Daphnia pulex: one gene and its partner. The main gene of each other region encodes a partner of the protein of the gene in region 2 in a complex. Links are inferred from orthologs where the notes say so. Each region holds a gene or a part of one and is shown on either strand. Other genes may lie near its edges.

Evidence for each region. The genes of interacting proteins can lie anywhere in the genome.
Region 1: the proteins of B-cell receptor-associated protein 31-like (region 2) and mitochondrial fission 1 protein-like are in contact, whole or in part, in a crystal structure (PDB 8XWX), measured with the Homo sapiens proteins. The link is inferred for Daphnia pulex from reciprocal best matches to the Homo sapiens genes BCAP31 and FIS1. Residues at the interface, in NP_001132913.1 of Homo sapiens: Asp224, Leu227, Glu228, Ala231, Lys232, Ala235; in NP_057152.2 of Homo sapiens: Arg52, Val56, Glu59, Glu60, Pro63, Lys64, Lys89.

The regions. Positions count from the first base shown.
Region 1 is NC_060026.1:16,281,587-16,286,017, forward strand, and holds mitochondrial fission 1 protein-like, read left to right. Parts: upstream 1-1,912; 5' UTR 1,913-2,015; coding exon 2,016-2,060; intron 2,061-2,120; coding exon 2,121-2,330; intron 2,331-2,461; coding exon 2,462-2,567; intron 2,568-2,644; coding exon 2,645-2,733; 3' UTR 2,734-2,966; downstream 2,967-4,431. Other genes in the region: ras-related and estrogen-regulated growth inhibitor-like protein, read left to right, coding at 423-615, 690-838, 905-1,093, 1,159-1,677; protein O-mannosyl-transferase TMTC4-like, read left to right, coding at 3,251-3,452, 3,521-3,752, 3,822-4,431. UniProt on the Homo sapiens protein: Involved in the fragmentation of the mitochondrial network and its perinuclear clustering. Plays a minor role in the recruitment and association of the fission mediator dynamin-related protein 1 (DNM1L) to the mitochondrial surface and mitochondrial fission.
Region 2 is NC_060022.1:3,343,108-3,347,913, forward strand, and holds B-cell receptor-associated protein 31-like, read right to left. Parts: upstream 2,819-4,806; 5' UTR 2,547-2,818; intron 2,456-2,546; 5' UTR 2,439-2,455; coding exon 2,347-2,438; intron 2,277-2,346; coding exon 2,176-2,276; intron 2,082-2,175; coding exon 1,925-2,081; intron 1,864-1,924; coding exon 1,658-1,863; intron 1,597-1,657; coding exon 1,442-1,596; 3' UTR 1,213-1,441; downstream 1-1,212. Other genes in the region: polyadenylate-binding protein-interacting protein 1-like, read left to right, coding at 10-118, 179-294, 364-583, 644-770, 833-1,043, 1,105-1,192; ankyrin repeat domain-containing protein 34A-like, read left to right, coding at 3,668-3,791, 3,896-4,080, 4,140-4,190, 4,271-4,352, 4,409-4,698. UniProt on the Homo sapiens protein: Functions as a chaperone protein. Is one of the most abundant endoplasmic reticulum (ER) proteins.

The sequences.
Region 1 (4,431 bases), on a different chromosome or scaffold from region 2:
TCTCACGTATTGGTCGGTAAACATGGTGGTCCCTATCTATAGGAAAATGCCAAATTGTTGTATGTGTATGTATAACAGACACGAACTTGTAGAGTTTCGGCCTTGTGTGATGAGCCGAGAATCTGATCCCAAACATAACCGAATTCGATCGCTGAAAAAACCTTGAACAATTTTTCCCCCACACACGCAAATGTCGGGTACTTGGAAGTTCAGTCGATTGAATTCAGGTCTCGGATGATTTTGTTTGTTTCCTCCTTGTGAATCGATTTAGGGTTATGTAAAATAAAATCAGGGCAAATACGATTATCGTGCATTTCCCGTCAATTGCGTTGCGGGTTGGTTGCTGGATGATATCAACAGTTGACGGCTGATGCTGTGCGCATGTCCAGGCCAGTCTTATAAAAGGGAGGCTGCATCCAGAGATGACGATCAAACCCAATCACGACTTTGCCCAGTTCTCCAACATCACGCGCCAATTTTATTTCATATCGAAAATGAAGGAATCGTTGGGCAACAAATCAGCGACGACGACCAACAACAAAACCAACAACACTGGAAATAACAACAACCGATTGTGTGTCACCGTTCTAGGATCTACCGCCGTTGGCAAAACAGGTTTGTTAATTTTGAATTTTTATTTGGCGCTAATAAGTGGCGTGAATTAATTTATGCAAAATTTGATTAAACAGCGTTGACAGTTCAGTACCTGACGAGTCGATTCATCGGCGATTATTTCTCCGGGACCGACATGACTTATCACCACTCTTTCGCTTACATGGGAGGATCGCTGAAAACCAACGTCGACATTCTCGACATTTCACGGCCATCCCGCAATGACGTAAGTCGTCATCACGGCTCACATTTTCAATTTGAAAAGCTAATTGATTTTGGGTTATAATTAAAGGTGATTGGTGAAGATGAGGAAATGTTATCGTCAGTAGTCGGCACAGAAAAGTGCATGGCTTACCTGGTCGTCTATTCGCTGACCAATTCCAAAAGTTTCGATCGAGCTCGTGAAATCCTGTCCAGGTTACCTTTCCATTCGCCGAAATATTTGGTGGCCAACCAACTCGACCTCCAACACAGACGACAGGTATGTCGAATTTTTTTCCTATTCCAGGGATTTACATTTAATTTAATTTATTGAAATTTGTTCAGGTGTCGCGACTGGAAGGTCAAACCGCAGCCGATGAATTCGGTTGTCCATTTGACGAATTCTCAGCGGCCGAGCCGCAGTACGAAGGCCAACAGTGGGGAGTGAAAATTGTTTTCCAAAAGTTGATTCGCCAATTGATTTCCAATTCGCACGTTCTTCCATATCCGCGGATGATCCGCTTTTCGTCCTTTTCGAAAATGATTGGCGCCATCGTCTCCAAGACGCGCCACCACTCGGCCAATTCCAACAACAAATCGCAGCACCAACAGCAAAAGAATTTCGCCAACCAGCACAACCGCAAATCCTCCATGTCTTCGTGCAGCGACAGGAGCAGCAACTCGAGTGGCAACAACAGCACCGGAAGTGTCGATTCCATCGCCACACTCACGCCCGACATGAGTCTGTTGCACATCAACAGCGCCCATTTGATTCACGGAGTGAAATCTAAACCCATTCCCATCGTCCACCGAAAGCTTTTGACCAGCTCCAACTATCCGTCAAGTCAAATCGCCTCCATATGAATTATATATATCGATTTTATTATCATCATCAACATTTCTTATGACTGGCACAACCAAAATATCATGCAAAATGTACAGCTACAATATATGTATTTTGATACAAATTATTTATATCTATAAACTTTGAATACAAATTTTTTGAAAAGTTAATTACTGTTTTATTCTTTAAATTGTAGTAAGGTCGTATCCGTTGATCAAAACTGTTTTGCATTTTCAAACATTTTTGAAAATCCCGCCTATTCCGTCTGCTGGAAATCAGCTGATATTCCGACTGACTACGTTTTTCAGCTTGTTGTCATCAGTGTATTGCTCAATATTTGATTGGTAATAATAGCAAAATGGAGGACGTTCTAGACGAAAGTATTTCTGAAGAGGATTTGAAGGTACGTGTAACTCTGTAACAATTGTCATTTTCAATTTATAATGTTTGGACTCTTTGGCAGAAATTCGAGCGACGTTATCACGACAGTTTGACCCAGGGAACAGTAACTCAAGACATCCAGTTCAATTATTCCTGGGCATTGATCAGGAGTAAATATCAGGCAGATATCAAGCGAGGGATTTTTCTCTTGGAGGACTTGTCCAAAGGAGGAAATGATGAGGGCAGGAGAGACTACATCTACTACCTAGCCATTGCCAATGCCAAAATCAAGGTAATAAAAATGATCATACTTTTAGCACTTGAAGATGTCATAGTTGTCATATAAATTATCCTACACTTTGGAGAGATGACATTTTTGATCTATCCTAAAAATCGTGTTTGTTTGCTTTTGTTATTTGACAGGAGTACAGCAAAGCTTTGGGTTACACCAAAGTTCTGCTCCAAGTAGAACCAAATAATCGGCAGGTCAGAACTCTAAAAAATGTCATTGAGAAACGAATGGAAAGAGGTATGAAGTTCTTTTGTTGTGTGCACATCTTCATATTTTTAACCCTTTATTTATTTATTTTTCATAATTATTAACAGAGGGACTTAAAGGCATTGCCATCATAGGTGGAGCAGCATTGGCTTTGGGTAGTCTGATTGGACTGGGGGTAGCTCTGGCAAGGAAGTGATAGCGCTCATTAATGCCACGATACACTTCTTATTCTGTAATCCCTTTTGTCATGCAGATTTATGTTATGTGCTGAACTGCTGTGTTGAATCTGAATGTTGATATTTTCACTATCATAAAAATTTTCTTGTGGAAAACTATATTATACTTTCATTCCTTTCTTTTTGTTTTATTTTCATGAAATTCTAGTGTATCAGAAATGAAAGGTATAATGAACAATTACAGATTTACAGTACATTTAGTGTTGTTAATTGTGCGTTGGTTGCGTAAAAAACAAACACTAAAGCCGCACTAAATGCGCACAACAAAAGGTTGCCGAAACCGATTACTAGACATCTAGTAGCACACACACGATTGACACATGACATTTGACAGAAGCAGCCTTGAGGGCTCGCTACGTAGAATCAGATTCTGTGGGTAGAAAAACTTTCGGGCTTACCGTGGCTCCGGTGTAAATATGCCAATCTAACATGTTTTCATGTGTTGCAACATGTAACCTTTGCTCGAGTTAACTGCGTATGCCAACAAAATTACGTGTAGTTTTAGGGGACAACAGAGTAGGCGGCCAGACAAAGCAAAAGTATTATGATATTCCAATGGCAATGACTAAGACGGCCACGAAAGAAGTTTCCGAGAATGGCGCTGGCAAAGTAAACAGTTACAGAGATTTCACATCAACGATTCATAAACCAGCTGCTCAACAATTATTCATATGTCCAGGTATCGCCTTGATTATTTTTCAGACTCTTTAAAGTTGAAAAATGACATTTTTCCAATTCTGTAAACAGAAGTTTCTCTGAAATGGGGATGTGCAATCATCTTTATCCTGGCGTCAGTGTGCTATTTAAATTCAGTAAACGGGTCCTTTGTGTTTGACGACACAGAAGCAATAGTAAACAACGAAGATGCTAAAGGCAAGACTCCTCTCAACGAAATATTTTTCAATGACTTTTGGGGCACATCACTCAATCACAAGAGTAGTCACAAATCGTACCGACCATTGACCATTTTATCATTCAGGTATTTTCTATACGAGACATTGAATGAATCATTTCACCAATTGACCTTGTTGTTGTTGTTGTTGTGCAGGTTAAACTACATTTTCAATGGGCTGGATCCAAGGCCCTTTCACTTGACGAATGTGTTGCTCCATTCCATCTGCTGCACCCTGAGTCTGGTGATCTTCTCAACTTTGTTGGGAGAAACTCGCCCGAGGCTGTCGTTCATCACGGCCATCCTTTTCTCGGTTCATCCCGTCCACACGGAAGCCGTCAGCGGAATAGTTGGGCGAGCGGATCTCCTCTGCGGAATCTTTTATTTTCTCTCCATCTACTCGTACGCGAAACATTTGGACGGAGGATCGCTGACGTCGTTCGCCACTTCGATGGCCAGCTGCGCCATCGCCATGTTCTGCAAAGAGCAGGGAATCACAGTCCTGGGCGTGGTCGCTGTTTACGACGTCACGAGATCCGTGACTGGCACTTTCAACTTTGGCAACGTCATGAAGCGAAGGGATATCCTCCAGCGTTTCTCTTTGATCGCCGTAGTTGGAGTGGCTCTTCTTTACGTCAGATTGAGTGTCATGGGCTCTTCCGGGGCTCCGGCCTTCCAGCGGGTCGACAATCCAGCTTCCTTCGCCGATTCGCCGATGACCAGAGCTCTGAGTTATAACTACGTCTACTCGATCCACGCCTTGCTG
Region 2 (4,806 bases):
TATATATAGTCCTGGTCACTTCACACATTTGTGTGATCAACTCATCTCTAACCTGAACAGTTGGCCAGCTTTGGATGAAAGTATGCTGCAGATATTAGTGGATGAAATCGTCGCTCTAGTAACTATTTTCTTTCTTATCATTATTTAAAATTATTAATCTGGTAATTTACGTTTAAAGGCTATTCGTGAACCTAATTTCCGGTATAACGGCGCAAGGCTTTGTAATTCAATTACTCGAGGACTACGAATTTCCGGTCCTACTTCTCCCGATTTTCGATCTACTCTTTTTAACAGGTGGTGATAAAATATTCAATGCTGAATTGAGATATGCATGAACCATATCTTTCAAAATTCTCATCTCAGATGTCGAATAATCCATGATGATCGAAAAAACCTGATGCAAAGCGATGCAGAGTATTTGAGGGGATTTGCTTTATTTATGAGCGAACTCTTTGTGCACATGAATCAGAAAGATGCGTCCAGCAGATTCCGCGTTTTAGGAAGAGCCGTTCGGGAGCTATTGCTGACTCTTCTAGAACATCCAACTCCTGGTAACGTCAAATGCGTCTGTCAAATTCTGAAGGTACTACAGTCGTTTAATAGAATCGGTTTGAAATGAAATTTGGTAAAATTTTTGCTTTAGTTATCGGGCTCTTACCTTGAAGACGATGATCGTGAGGCTAATAAAGGAAAAACCACCGAAATGGACCAACTGATGGCGAAGATTGAAACAGTCGGTCGCACAGTTGAAATGCAAATGCATATGAAAGGTTACATTTTTTACATAACTTTCAATTAATTAAAATTAATTATTTTTTTTTTTGTGTGTTAGATCTTCTTCTGAACATGATTGAGTTGAGAGGCAGTGACTGGGGTCGGGCACCGAGCTCCCCAGTGACTCGTGAAAGTCACACTGCAAGTAGTCAGCTCCCCAACCATCAAATGGGTGTGTATTATGGCCCTGACGGTCAAGCTCTAACTGCTGAGGAAACTGAGTTTCTTGACCAAGGAATCAATCGCCATGATGAGGATGAAGAATACGAGTATATGCGTTTTCAAAATGACGATTTTACATCTTATGACCTAATATTATTTCTTATCTAGGTATGCGTATGAAGAAGATACTGGAATGGATGATGAGATGGCTGAGGCATTTGAAAAATTTCTCATGATGCAAGACGCTTTGAAATAAAATTCAGTATATCGATCATGTTTTAAGGACCATTTCGAATGTGTAATTATTATGTTGCTGTCACTTTTGCTGATACATCAAAGTAGGGAGAAATAATAAAGTTGATACCCCTCCCCAAACTATGTTTTAGCCTGGATTTTATTGTTTGTAAAAGCTAGATAGATTATAGAGCATTACCACAATTTTCAAAGTGACAAACAAAAGGACAAGCATGTTATTTCATAACCAACAGATCAACCAAGGTCATTTTTAATCATCTTTCTTGTCAGACCCACCTTCTCCTTCTAAGACGGCCAATTTCTTTACAAGTTTACTGTGCTCTTCGGCGAGACGGTCGTATTCCCGAGCAACACCTTCGCTTTGTGATTTAAAGGCTTCAAGGTCTTTCACGGCTTGAGACCTCTCTGAAAAAGAAAAATCTTTATAAGAACGTCCATGATTTATCCCTACATTACAGACTCTTACCTTTCTTGGCATCAGCCAATTCTTTCTCCAAAAGGGAAATCTTTTCTTCAGCTTCTTTAACGTTTTCATCACTAGCGGATTTGTCTTTCTGGGACATTAACTCTTCCGCAGCCTTCGAAGCTGAAGTGGCCTGGCGCATAGCGGCCTCACTGGTTGCTGCCAAAGTTGCTTGAGCCGCAAGCAGTGTCATCAGACGACGAATAACGCTAGAAAATGTACGGAGTTAGTTGGGAACAGTAAATGGTCATTCAAATGATCAATACTTACAAAATCAAAAACAGAGAGAATCCAGTAATGTAAAAATTCCTTTGGGCTCTAAAGAGCACCATAGAATTTCGAAGTTCTTGCTCTAAATGTTGGTGTTGTTGTTCCTTTGCTTTTCCATCGTGAGTAACATCATACTTCCTCATCTCCCGAATAGCATCTAGGAATTACATGTGATTTAGCATTGCCATGGAAGTATGTCATATTATTTCGTCATAACATATCAGGCTGAGAAATTATGTGTTCTATATTACCGAATAAGCAGAGGACCAGGAATGCAAGGATGACATAGAAGTATATGTGAACTTGCTGACCTAGACCTCTGAGGAAACTTGACTTGAAAAGTTTGTTCCATCTTGGGGAGGAAAAAGAGAAAAAAAACTGATGTAAATGTTGAAATGGGTACACAATGATATTTTATTTACCTCTGAGCAGAGATGAATGGCAGAAGGAGTAGGAAAACAACAGCTATCTCAATGTAGAGAAAAGTTGCAATTAAACCCCACTGAAAACTCATTGTGGACTATTTATATCCTGAAACAGTTTTCAGAATAGTTTCACGTTATCCCATGTACACGAACACGGTAGGTATTACACAAATCAATAATTCCCAAAATAAACTTACGGCTTGTGTAGACAATTTCAGCAAAAATGTAGTTTCGTCAACGTTCGAAATAGCAAGTCATTCGTTTATGTCTCGTCGGATACTGCTGCAAGAATGCTAGTACAAGATTTGATTTCTTTTCCTGTTAAACAAAATTTCAGTGCAGGCTCGTGCAGACTACCTTCGCATGTGTTCGTCTGGTGTAAACTGAGAGAAAATCTTTTGATACCAACTTATCTTTACAAATTACAGTAGCTAGAGGCTAGGAGACATAGGTAATAAAGGCGGGGTTTGCTATGACGATGTCAGCGCCACCACATTACGGCGAGTCTTCTTATTGGCGATGACGTGTACCAAACAAAAATTGGCTGGGCTCCAAATTCAACTCTTTCTTACGTCTTTCTTCTATAAGATTTCGTGTTAAAGAACAAGTATTGCACTTTTTTTTAGAGTGTCGACGTGTCGTCGACCTTTTTATCTGATGAAACATGTCTCCTACACATCGCAGTGGTAAAGCTGTGACTAATAATAAAATAAAAAGAAACTTTTGGTCTCGTGTCCGCTTTCTAATTTTCTTATTGGTGCTACGGTTTCATTGCCGTATCATAACCTTACATTCGCAATAATATTTCATAGCAATAATTTCACGAGTTTCAATATAATACAGGAGATTTAAAGTGAATTGTGATCAAAGTTGTGAAATTACTATAATCATTCGACTTTGCAATAGGCTTTAGAAGATATTCGTAACATATGTTGGAACGTGACTTTGCTGCAGCCAATTCAAATCGTGCAGGGTTGAGCCATTTTTATTCACCAATTGAGTTATTGCGAGCGGCACGAAACGATGTAATCTGTCCTATAAATGGTATTAGGCTACTGTTTGCGGACGATGAAGGCCAATATGTTGACATTGATAATAATACAACCCCTCTCTCCCTGCATGTTTACTACGGACAAGCGTAACGCGCGAGTACTTTCAATTGAATTTCCTCACGACGCATTCTCTCGTGCGCATTCAGGGATTTTGCGACGTCGACTGAGTACCTACACCACTCCTTTAAAAATCCTAGGCTCTTTGCCGTGCGATCGAAGTCGTTTGGAAACATTCGATCAGCGGGCACCTACAGCTATCGTCGCCTATGGACTCAGTAGCGGATCGTGCTTCGTATTTGTTAGATGCTGTTATTAGTGGACATTATCGCCAAGTTAAATTCTATTTAGATGCTGGTTATGATCAAGATTACGTCGACATCCATCGTGAGGGTAAAGAAAAATGCTTTAAATTTAATACTGAACACTTTACCGCTATTTTACGACTGTTAACGAATAGTAAAGCAAAACTTTTATTTTACTGCATGGAACTATAGGAAGTACTCCTCTAATCCTGGCGGTTACACAGGTGAAGGACGACGAATCAATAAGAAACCGCTTAATTGTACTTTTACTACAAGCCGGAGCAGATCCAAACATTGGTGATCGGTACGGTATGACACCGCTAATGCACTCTATACTACGTCGACAAAAGAGCACTGTTCGCATTTTGCTGGAATCGGTAGAGATTCATATCGTTTCAAGTTCAGCTTAACAAATTACTGTTTAGTTTTATCACAGAAACGTTTGGATCATGGTATGGAAGACTTTGATGGAAACAGTGCACTCATGGTGAAACTTACATAAATTGATACTTTACATTTAAGCACGTTAACATTATTTTAAAATTTACAATAACATTCTATTATTAGCACGCCGCATCGCTTGGTTTAACCGATATAGTGACGATTATTCTTGAGCGGCTAAGTGCTGTGCATCGAATGATCTACCTCGGTTAGAAAAAATGCTCTCTTTGACTTTTCTTCCACTAATCGATGATTCTTGTTTAGGTCAGAAGAATCGAAAAGGTCTTACAGCTGGAAATTTGGCAGAAGGATTCGAAAAAAAGGAACTAGCTGATTTGTTGAGTTGGAAGAGCACATATTTTTTGCCGGACAACTTCGAAGGATTTGCTGATCCAAGACAACTCGAACAGGGGAAAAAATCTTCCACGTCTTGTCGTGAAACGCGCCACAAACCTATAGCTGGTATTCAAAGTCGGTCGTTTACTCCAGAAATTCAGAGGCGACATTGGCGGAAAAACGACAGCAACTGTACAGATCAAAACGATGTACAGTAAATCGTATAATTCGATTTGCGCAGGAAGAACCAATTGCCTCGTGATAACTCTCCAGCCGATTGTGCAACACAACGCCATTCGTCGAAAAAAATTTCTGTTAGCACTTTA